Linked DNA regions of Nothobranchius furzeri. The protein of the gene in region 1 purifies or fractionates together with the protein of each later gene. This does not show direct contact. Links are inferred from orthologs where the notes say so. Each region holds a gene or a part of one and is shown on either strand. Other genes may lie near its edges.

Evidence for each region. The genes of interacting proteins can lie anywhere in the genome.
Region 2: the proteins of keap1b (region 1) and microtubule-associated proteins 1A/1B light chain 3A purify together in Homo sapiens (affinity purification with mass spectrometry; 3 studies listed by BioGRID and IntAct, with this or other methods). This does not show direct contact. The link is inferred for Nothobranchius furzeri from reciprocal best matches to the Homo sapiens genes KEAP1 and MAP1LC3A.

What each region holds. Positions count from the first base shown.
Region 1 is NC_091747.1:74,194,165-74,199,892, forward strand, and holds the start of keap1b (kelch-like ECH-associated protein 1B), read left to right. Parts: upstream 1-1,816; 5' UTR 1,817-2,080; intron 2,081-3,544; 5' UTR 3,545-3,616; intron 3,617-5,728. UniProt on the Homo sapiens protein: Substrate-specific adapter of a BCR (BTB-CUL3-RBX1) E3 ubiquitin ligase complex that regulates the response to oxidative stress by targeting NFE2L2/NRF2 for ubiquitination.
Region 2 is NC_091743.1:78,250,163-78,256,083, forward strand, and holds the start of microtubule-associated proteins 1A/1B light chain 3A, read right to left. Parts: upstream 3,301-5,921; 5' UTR 3,298-3,300; coding exon 3,132-3,297; intron 1,782-3,131; coding exon 1,726-1,781; intron 1-1,725. UniProt on the Homo sapiens protein: Ubiquitin-like modifier involved in formation of autophagosomal vacuoles (autophagosomes). While LC3s are involved in elongation of the phagophore membrane, the GABARAP/GATE-16 subfamily is essential for a later stage in autophagosome maturation.

The DNA of each region.
Region 1 (5,728 bases):
ACATACAGATGGTTTTAATTTTGCTTCCAGAGAAAGATTTGGACGAAAAAAAAAAGAATCGGGGCAAATAAAAGTCAGTAAATCGTTCACATTTGCAGATTTATGTTCAATAAAATCTTCGTTTATGTTTGCATTGATTCGACATATCTCAAGGATTTCTAATTGCATTAAAACGTATAAGTTTGTTCTTGATTTGACAGCATGTATCCAACATCAATGAAACTGAGGGATTGACAGTACCACAGATTGGGTTTTAATTAAAGCAAATTTTACTTTTAAAAGAATAAACTCAGATTTTTGAGTTTGCTGATGTAAAGTAGAGAGTTGGATAACTTCAGAACAAAAAGGTTTTCATTGCAGAGGTCAAGAGACGGTTCAAAAAGGTTTGTGAGTTGTCATGGGACATGCCAATAAAAACATTTTGGCATAAATCTGTGGCTGCAGTTTGATATCTAATAGTGATGTGTCGGTCGCAAACGAACCGGCTCTAAGAGCCGGCTCTTTGAAGTGAACGACGGGAGCCGTCCCCTCCCCTCCCCTCTTGCTTTGGTGCAAGCCACAGGCGATTGGTCAGCATGTGTAACTGCGTGTCCAGACTGTCCACACACAGAGCAGTAGGGGCGGGGAAGAGGGAGGATCAGACTCAGACACACAGCAGAGCACATGCGGGAGGAGGGAGACGAGAGGGAATGAGGAGGAGGTAAAAGGAGAGTGCGACTAAGACGGTGAGAAAATGAGCGCCAGCAGTCAGAAAGTGTAGATTTCTTAAAGTGTTCAGTTATTAAATCCATAGAAATGATAAATATTTGATATATTGAATTTTTTTATATTAGTAAATCATTCTACAAATAGTTTAGTATTATTTTGGTTATAAATGTACTCTACGCAACAGAAAATCTGAGGAGCCACTAGGGAGCCGGCTCTTTTTGGTGAGCTGAGCCAAAAGAACCGGCTCTCTTAAAAGAGCCGGAATTCCCACCACTAATATCTAGGGTGATAAGGCATGACTGTCTGCAACAACTGGAGCAGCTGCACGGGAAAACCTCAGATTTGATGAGATTTGTACCAGTGCAGATGTTTATCCAGATGTTGACTCTACTCACCAGGTTTTGGACGCAGTCCTTCCTCCTGTTGAAATCCAACAGCAAACAGGCGCGTTGAAAGTCGTAAGTCCGCGTGCACAGACACTTGCTGGAGGGTCCCCTTCCACTGATCTCATGGCAGAGCAGTAGTAGACTGATGCAGCTTCCACTCCTTAGGCCTGAACACTCAGTTAGCTTGTGGTGCCACCTTGTGACTGTGAGAGAGACCACTATGACCTGGCTTACATATTTTGTAACAGAAAGAACTGGTGTGTCATATACTATTGGTGTCAGTGCATGCCTGGGGCAAACTGCTGCTCAGAGCTGGAGCTGCTCACAAACATGTTTATCTCAAAGAAGAGTCCAGACAAGCACAATGAGTGTGTGAATGTGTGTGTGAATGGATGAATGGTACACTGCAGTGTAAAGGGCTTGGGAGTCCCTACTCTTGAGAGGCGCTATACAAGTGCGGGTCATTTATCATCTTTTATCATTTAGCTATGGGGTTATTATAGGTCAGATCTTTAGCAGCAGTGTTTTCATTTAGTATTAATCACATACTATTGCATTTTAAAACATTTGTGTTACAAGTCATTAAATAGCCGTTTGTTATTACAGTTATTGATTTCATGTAGCATTGCATTTTTCTTTTTAAACTTTTTACCAAGTATTTTCATTTTACGTTTAGGTGTATTAGAGCATGCTTCCCTTGACACATTTGATTAACTGTGAGTCACAGTTTTGGCACTGTGCTCCCATTTTGGCCTAGCTTTTTCTTCATTCTGAGAATTCCTTCCGAATAAAAGCCTCCTCCCTCGTGACGTACGTTTCTTCCATTACACGTTAACGGAGGCAGGTCTCGCGCTTAGGGGAAGACTCTTATTGTGAAAGTGAGGGGAGGCCGCCACAATTGCTTAGTCACGGAGTTACTGCTTTCCCCTCCTTCCTATGTGGCGAACTGCTCGAAAACCCATGATGGAGGAATTGAGCTAGTCTACGTGAGTGTCCTTTATTTTTTACAAATGTACCAAACCACTAACAGTCTAGAGAACCAGTTTGAACAGGTCTGAGTGCCCGCTGAAACCCAAGTAGCAGTACTGTTTTCAGGCTTCGCTTTGTTAGCGTTAACCTATCGACTCGCAGCCGTTACTCTAGTCTATTATTAGGAGTCCGTGTTGCTGTCAGCTCTATTTCCGTGACATTTTATTTGTTTCTATTGCGTCTCAGATTGTTTTTACTTTATTCTAATCGTTTTACAAACTTACAGCCGATGGCGTCCACCTGCTTTGCCTTTTGAACGCCTCCAGTATTTGATGAAAACGAGCTCAGAAACTGTGACCTTTTTAGTGTGCGAGGCAAAGTGGGCTTTGTAAGAAGCGTCTTCATGTCAGGTAGGTAGATGGCGCGGAAATCTTAATTCCGTTCGGGCTTATGTAAGGACGAGCTCCACTTCTGGGTCGTGCTATCGTACAACCAGCTCTGTTTGCTCAGTGAAGAGTTCACGATGAGTCATGGAGGAGGGAGGCTCAAAAATGTCAGTGAAACATGTTGTGCGTTTGTTTGGCTCGTTCTCGTCTGCTGGTTTAGTAGCGTTTAAATGGGTGAAAGGTCACGTTTAGTTGCCGTTTTTAGGCCCTGAAAGTGGCTCCAGATTCTGATGGTGTTGTACGTCACTGTAGGCAAGTTAGTGTGAAAGGATATGCTTGAGAGTCAAGTGTGACTAGCTGCAGATGTCCCTGCACAATATCCTCTCTCACTAGGTAAAGTGTTGTGGAGTTGCCTGAAGGTGATCTTAGAGGTTATGTCTTGTGAGGAAATGAGTCATGTTGGTGTTACACATTATTTGGTCTTTTTCCAGCTGAGGATTTACAGATGTTTATGTTTGGGTTGTTTTTTTTTTCTTCCCAAAAATCTACTTTTGCAATTCCCTAAAGTACAATCAGTGTACTACAATAAAATGACGTGCACAACACAACTTAAAGGGTTTCTCTGACTTATCTGATGTCAGCCAAATCATGGCAACTTGAGCTGGATGACTTGTAGTTTTATCTGTCACGTCTCAAACTTACTATTTTTAAGTTAAAGTCCCCGGCGCATCCAGAGTGACACTTGACCTACTTGTTTGTTGGTCAGCAGCTTCTGCACCTAGTAGAGAGCAAATGAGTTGAGCAATAAGCTCTTCTGTGAAACACTTCCTCAGAAACCTGGGGAAGATAAAAGCACCCAGTGACTCAGAACTTAAACCGGTTTCATGTTACAGTAAATTTAACTCACTGAGTGCTCACACACACACACACACACACACACACACACACACACACACACACACACACACACACACACACACACACACACACACACACACACACACACACACGCACGCACGCACGCACGCACGCAGCCATCTGTTGATCATTTAAATAGAGTGAATCTCAAACATAACCATTTTAATTAATTTGCAGATTGAGGAGCGGTCATAGGTTGGTGACAACAAAGTCTTATCATCACGTCTCTGCACCATCTCCTGTACCCAGGTGATGATCAGTGTGTGTATGCATGTGTGTGTGCAGATTGTTTAGTTATATAACTGACCCACTCACCCCGTTCAAGGATCAGCAGACAGGCCGTTACAGTTAGTTGTATTGAATATACCACTATTAAAGGCAGTTCGATTTCTGAGAGGTAGTTGGAATGGCAGTGAAGTTCTTTCTAATTCTGCTGCATCCCCTTTGGCTGCTTTAGTGGTATGTGTGATGAAGGGTGTTAGTTCTGTGGAGCTTAGGCCATATGATCCAAGTAGATGTACTGGTTTCCAAACCAGTCTGCAAGAGTTGTTTATTTGTTTCCATTCAGCTAAATGCAAAACGCTGGAAGATTAAAATAAATCACATTTCTAATTCTAGTAGTTTATACTGGGAATGAGTAATAAACTGCACACATTTATTGTTATAAATTATTTTTCTTTATTTTTACAAGTGGCATCTTTTAAAAAGGTGTAGTGTGTATGCATTAATAACTTGTTAATAACACATAAAATGCTTAGACTATTTAAGAGAGTAGCCTAAAACTAGATCCAGTTATATTAAAGAGAGGATTAGTGTGCATTGCTGTGCATGCAGCAGAGAGGGAAAAGATGCTAACCAGTTCAGGGTTTCCCCTAGCACTTTATAAGCCTGGTAGCCCGCCAGGCTAAGGGTCACACCTTGCCCCCCTCCCCGACTCTACCGTGTCCGCTGACACGAACGGCGCAACGAAACTAGAGCCATCCATCATCTGATACTGGTGAGAAACAGCAACGGAACGTGTGCAACCCCGCTCTCACGGAGGAGAGCTGTAGGATCGATTGTTACTATAAGAGAATAAACACTACAGGCCTTCCATTTTGTATAACACTGCTTTTATTGTGTTGTGGTTGGTTATGTTCTGGTGACGTGTAGAACTTGGGAGTGCAGGCGGCTGCCTGAGAGGTGGTTGGAGACGGAGTGTCTCCATGCTGCTTTGTTTTGGTCACTTATGAGCGTGAGGCGAATGGTGTTACAACCCTTTCTGGGGAGTTTGGCTCGTGTGCAAAAAGGAAGGGACAATAACACGGGATTTAAAAGGTAAAATGATGATCAGGTTTATTTACAACAGCAAAAAAACATAAATCGTTCCATCCACAGGTTGGGAATAATAAAACTAATTCTGCCTGTGGGGAATTAAAACAAAAGTACAAATAACTTGGGATGTGGCCACTGGGCAAAGATTACTGGGTTCTAGACCAAAATGAGGATCTCCAAATGTTTGTTTATTCATTTCGCAGACGCTTTTATCCAAAGCGACTTACAATTTATAACCTATGGGGCATGTTGTGATCTGTGGGGGAAACCGGAGTACCCGGAAGTAGTGATGTGTCGGTCGCGAATGAACCGGCTCTAAGAGCCGGCTCTTTGAAGTGAACGACGGGAGCTGGCTCGTCATTGGGAGCCGTCCCCCCCCCCCCCCCCCCCCCCCCGCCTTGGTGAAAGCTACAGGCGACTGGTCAGCATGTGTAACTATGTGTCCAGACTGTCCACACACAAAGCAGTAGGGGCGGGGAAGAGGTAGGATCAGACTCAGACACACAGCAGAGCACATGCGGGTGGAGGGAGACAAGAGGGAATGAGGAGGAGGAAAAAGGCGAGCGAGAGGGAGGAGAGTGCGACGAAGACGGTGAGAAAATGAGCGCCAGCAGTCGGAAAGTGAAGATTTCTTAAAGTGTTCAGTTATTAAATCCATAGAAATTATAAACATTTGATATATTGCTTTTTTTACATTAGTAAATTATTTTACATATAGTTTTGCATTATTTTGGTTATAAATGTACTCTACGCAACAGAAAATCTGAGGAGCCACTTGGGAGCCGAAAGAGCCGGCTCTTTTTGGTGAGCTGAGCCAAAAGAACCGGCTCTCTAAAAAGAGCCGGAATTCCCATCACTACCCGGAAGAAACCCACTCATGCATGGGGAGAACACGCAACTCAACGCAGAAAGGCCACAGCCGAGTTTCGAACCTGCAACCTTCGTGCTGCGAGGCAACAGTGCTAATCACTGCCTCACCATGCAGTCCAAAGGTCCAAACTCTAAACCGGGTGGTTAAACCAGACCCAAAGTGATATTTTAAACTAA
Region 2 (5,921 bases), on another chromosome or scaffold:
TGCATTTATTACTTCCCGTCTCGACTACTCTAACTCAGTGCTATACGGTATCTCCTCCTCCACTCTCGCTCAACTTCAGCTTGTGCAGAACGCAGCAGCTCGTTTCTTGACTGGCACCAGGCAGCGGGAACACATCACACCGGTTTTAGCAAATCTTCATTGGCTCCCCATCCATCTCCGGATAGAGTTTAAGATCCTGGTTTTTGTGTTTAAATCCCTAAATAACTTAGCACCTGGCTACTTGTCTGAGCTCATTCACCCATATGTCCCTACAAGATCTCTCCGATCAGCTGACCAACACCTCCTACATGTCCCTAGCTCTCGCTGTAAGTCCCGCGGGGAGCGCGCCTTTTCAGTTTGTGCACCGAAGCTCTGGAACCACTTGCCCCTCCCGATCAGACTCTCTTCCTCTCTTTCCCTTTTTAAGTCTCGTTTAAAAACTCACTTTTATTCTCTGGCTTTTAATTCTGTCTAACTTATTCCCTTTCTACCTTTCCTTTTAGGGTTGGATTACTTGATTTTAATGGATTTAGTTTTTATTTTTGATTGTTTTTATTGTGTGTTTTGTTCAGCACTTTGGTCGGCTCTCATGCCGTGTTTAAATGTGCTATATAAATAAAATTGGTATGGTATGGTATGGTAAATAATCCGATGATTAAATGGTAAATAGCCTGTATCTGTATAGTGCCTTAGGGTTCTACAACCCCCCAAGGCGCTTCACAACACAGTCATTCACCCATTCATACGCTGGTGGTGATGAACTACATCGTAGCTAAAGCTGCCCTGGGGCGCACTGACAGAGGCGAGGCTGCTGAACACAGGCGCCACCGGTCCCTCCGACCACCTCCAGCAAGGCGAGTTAAGTGTGTTGCCCAAGGACACAATGACAGAATTCTCTGGTCTGAGCCGGGATTGAACCTGCAACCTTCCGATTACTGGACAACCCACTCTACCTCCTGAGCTGCTGCTGTCCCTTACATCCAAGCACAAACCCACAGAGGACACAGCTAAAGTTCAGAGTCAAAATGGCCGAACGTCCATTAACATGAGGCCTTTCCTAGAGCTAGCTTGTAGCTCTGGTGCTCAATAATTATTCATAATTTCAAGCATTTAATTACAGTCAAAGAGTTATAAAATAACTCACCCCCTCAGAGTTGTCATAAATGTTAGAAAGATCAGTCAAACCTAGAATGGCTTTTTGAACCAGGCTGTAAATGTGTTTATTTATGCTGTGAAACTGGCTTTTTTAACATGGGAGTCAAAGGGAACTTGCTCTGTTTTGGTACTAGCCCCTAGCGGATGAGGGTGGAACTGTAATTTTTGGTACTTCCATGCTGGAGCAAAGCCAGCGGCCTTGATCCCTTGGTACCGACGCACACTCAGAAGCATAAGCTCGGCTTAAATAGCGCCAGATACATGGCTATAACCAAGCAGCTGGCGGTCTCTGTTTTAGTTCAGATAGTCCTCGTGGGCATGAATGTTCCGTCTAAGAGAAGAGCAAAACACTTTGCTTCCCTTCTCAGTTATCCAGCATCAATTAACAGAGGCTGCCTGTGAGGTTCACTTGAATTAAAGAGAACTGAATCCACCTGAGCATAGTCGGTGGAACCGACAGATCCTTGAGTGCACAGATGCACTTTGTTAGGCAGGCATTTATCAGGAAGGCATCGATGTTCTAAACTCGCTTTGTGGACTACCCCCCAGGTTCGTGCGTGTGCAGCTTACAGGGATCTTGTTTGGGTGCTGCTCTCGGATCTGCTGGACCTCTTTGCATCGATCAGCTGTCGACAAAACAAATAGACAGCATGATGAGATTAGGAAGTTTACAGCAACAAGAGAAGATGTGTTTTGGATTGGTGGCCATATTGCAGCCATTTTGGATGGTAGGCTTTCGACTCCGTGTGTCACTGCAGATGGCTGCTTATGCTGATCCAGGATCCTCTGGAGGTTTCTTCCTGTGAAGTCTCTGACACAAGTCAGTGACTCGATGCAACCTGCTGGGTTACTTATATAGGAAACTTTTTACTGATTGCATTAATGAACTGAACTATTGGAATGTTTACTTTGAGAAGCGCCTTAAGAGGACTTGTCGGGATTTGGCGCTTTATAAATAAACGGAATTATAGATAGGGTGAGAAGCTCAGTCATCCGGGAGGAGCTCGGACTAGACCCGCCTCTCCTCCACATCGAGAGGAGCCGGTTGAAGTGGCCCGGGCTTCTAGTTGGGGTGCCTCCTGGACGCCTCCCTGGTGAGGTTATCCAGGCACATCCAACTGGGAGAAGACCTAAAGGAAGACCCAGGACACACTGAGGGGACTATGTTTCTCAGCTGGCCAGGGAACGCCTTGGGATTCCCCGGAGAAGCTGGCCCAAGTGGCTGGGGAGAGGGAAGTCTGGGCTCCCTGCTTAGGCTGCTGCCCCCCATGACCAGATTCCAGATAAACGGAAGAGGATGGATGAAACTCATTTCTAAATGAAACCATCATAACCACGTTCTGGACCTTAGCATGGGTGTCAAACTCTGGTCCTCAAGGCCCACTATCCCACATGTTTTAGTGTTTTCCCAGTTTCAACACACCTGATTTCAAGCTTGGGCCTCCCTGCTTAGACTACTGCCTCGCGACCTGATCCCGCGATATATTTGCATCAACCAAAATAATCGTGGTTATCATTTTCGCCATTGGCCGGATGGGTCTCTTCCTGATGACATCATCCTGTGGTTCCAGTCAGAGATGTTAGGGTGTTCCAGGTGAAACTCCAGTTTTAGAGCTTTCTATCAACCCGTTCCAGGTGTTCATCTACATAGTTCTCACCTTGCTTTGATATTCATGTTTCTGACACTGACAGCTGGTCCGTTCAGGTGAGCGGGTCACTGCCAGACTCCTCCCCTCCTGTCAGGTGACCGATTTAATCAGAGAATACGTGTAGGGGTCATGTTTCAGCACAACTTGTTGTTTTGGCCTCGCGGTGGGTCACGGAGCTGATCCGGTTGTGTAAAGGCTGCGGCGTCACATTGACCCCGTTTACCGTGAAGCTACAGACCGACCATCAACACATGTAAACACGTTAAATCCGGTGTGAACCTACGCATTGAAACGCACTAACGCTAGCTGTAGACAGCACCGTCTTACCGAACGTTCTCCGCTGCTTGAACGGTCGGTCCGACGGCATCCCGGCAGCGGCTTCAGGCGAAAGAAGGTGATGAAAACGGCCCTGGGAGGGTTTCAGATGGCTCGGTCTGAAGCTCCGCAGCAGCTCCGTACAAACAAAGCCAGTAATCTGACGCGCTGACGTCATCCGCTGCCTTATGGAGGTGAGTGAGGCAAGCCAAGTTGTCATTTAATATTCAGAAAAGTTATTCAGTTCCTGTCAGTAAAATTGAGGCCGTCTCTGGATCAGATCTCTGATTTTTATCTGATTTGGTGCTAAATACTGATAAGGTCATGGTAGTGGGGGATTTTAACATTCATGTGGACATTGAAAATGATAGCCTCAGTGTAGCCTTTAGTAATATACTGGTTTTACCCAAAGAATGCATAGCTCCACCCACTCCTGGCATCATACATTAAACCTTGTGCTGATTTATGGCATAGAGTGTGAGGAAAATAACGATATTTCCACATAATCCAGTCCTCTCGGACCACTTTTTGATCACCTTTGAGTTTTTTTATAACTGAGTTCTAGAGACATGAAAGTAAATTTCACTATAGTCTGTCTTTATCTGACAAGGCTGTTGCATCTTTTAAATCAATTATTCCATCTTTACTGTCCTCAGCATCTCAGAGGACTGTAGCAGAGGGCAATATTTTCATTTCTAGCCCCTCACAAATTGATGATTTAGTTCATAATGTTACTTCTTTACGTGTGGCATTAGATGATGTTGCCCCTTTAAAAAAGGTAATTAAGCACAGGAAGTTGGCTCCCTGGTTTAATTCTGATTTACAAACTTTAAAACAAAACTCTAGAAAATTGGAAAGAACATGGCGCTCTACAATTCAATTCAAGTTTATTTATAAAGCATCAAATCAGGACCAGAGTCGTCTCAAGGACCTTCACACAGTAAACATTCCAATACAGGTCAGGTCATTAAGCCAATCAGTAAAAAGTTTCCTATTTAAGGAACCCAGCAGGTTGCATCGAGTCACCTCATACTAAGAATGCAGCGACAGTGCAGAGAAAAACTCCCTTTTAACAGGAATTTTGTGTTTCTTAGTAAACATTCTATTTGGTGAGATAAACTTTATTGTATTTATCCTAGTGAATCTATAATTAATCTGGTAAACTAGGAGTAGCACATTCAATGTCAAAGAGAGTAAAATGTTATTGTCAGGAGAGGGAGAAGTGGTTAGCAGCAGTGTGCTAGCCAATGGCCCCCTCCATGAGGCCACTACAGCTCAGCAGAACATCATTGTAGCTTCTTCTGGGGAGGAAAACACTTAAGAGTAAAAATAAAGTTAACAGCTGAAATAGCAGGAAATAATGCAGTTAAAGAGCAGATTGTAGAAGAAAGTAGTAGAGTGTGGAAAGTGGTCAGTATGTCCTCCAGCATTCTAAGCCTATAGCAGCATATCTACAGAGATAACTCTGGATAACCTAGCCTAGTCTTAAAAGTAGAGACGGTGTCTGCCTCACGGACTAAAGCTGGGAGCTGGTTCCACAAGAGAGGAGCCTGATAGCTAAAATATCTGCCTCCCATCCTATTTTTAGATATTCTGGGAACCACCAGTAAACCTGCACTCTGAGAGCAAAGTACTCGGTTAGGAACGTATGGAACAATCAGATCACTAATGTATGATGGAGCTTTATTATTAAGAGCTTTATGTGTGAGAAGGAGGATCTTAAAGGCTATTCTGAATTTAACAGATAGCCAATGTAGGAAAGCTAGGACAGGAGAGATATGATCTCTCTTTTTAATTCTCATCAGAACTCTAGCTGCAGCATTTTGGACAAGCTGAAGATTTTTAACTACATTCTGTGGACTTCCCGAGAGTTATGAATTACAGTAATCCAGTCTTGATGTAATAAATGCATGAACTAGTTTTTCAGTATCACTACTGGAAAGGATGCTTCTAATCTTAGCAATATTCCGAAGGTGGAAAACGGAAATCCTACAAACCTGTTTAACGTGGGATTTGAATGACATGTCCTGGTCGAAGATAACACCAAGGTACCTTACTTTGTTCTCGGAGACTATTTTAATGCCGTTCAGGTCAGGTGATTGATTAAGCAGTTTCCTTTTCTGAATTTCGGGTCCAAAGATTAGAACTTCTATCTTGTCTTGATTTAAAAGCAGAAAGTTTTGAGTCATCCAACTTTTTATGCCATCAAGACAAGCCTGTAATCTAACTAACTGATTAGGTTCATCAGGGTTAATGGATAGATATAACTGAGTAACGTCAGCATAACAGTGGAAGTTTATCACATGCTCTCTGTGTGTGTCCACAGCAGGTGACATGGTGGTGGGTGGTGTTGTCACTGGCCTGTGGTTAGCCCTGCCCCACTGGTAAACCTCGGAGGTTTTTACCAGGGCATTAAAGTCAGTCCTAAACTGATTTAGGTCATTTTTAATGGGTATTATTCCAATTTCTGTTGTAATAAATGGTTTTAACAATCTGAAGCCACAACTACTTGGGCAAAAACGAACCCAAGTGCCTTACAGTCATTTCAAACTAAGTCCTTGGGTGAAATTCCCAAGGTGGCGTTGCTGGTTTTGGATAAAACGTCAGTCGATTTTTATGCCACACATACATTTGCAGTGGTCTCTAGAAGCTTCAGATGGCAGCATCTGGAGTCTTTTCCTGATATGTGGACATCTCTCCTCTGATTGGCTAACAGCAACACAACTCTACCACTGACTCTGTTTACTATGCAATGTTGATCTCTACAAATAACACAAGCCTGGAGAGTTCTGCTGTGTGGTG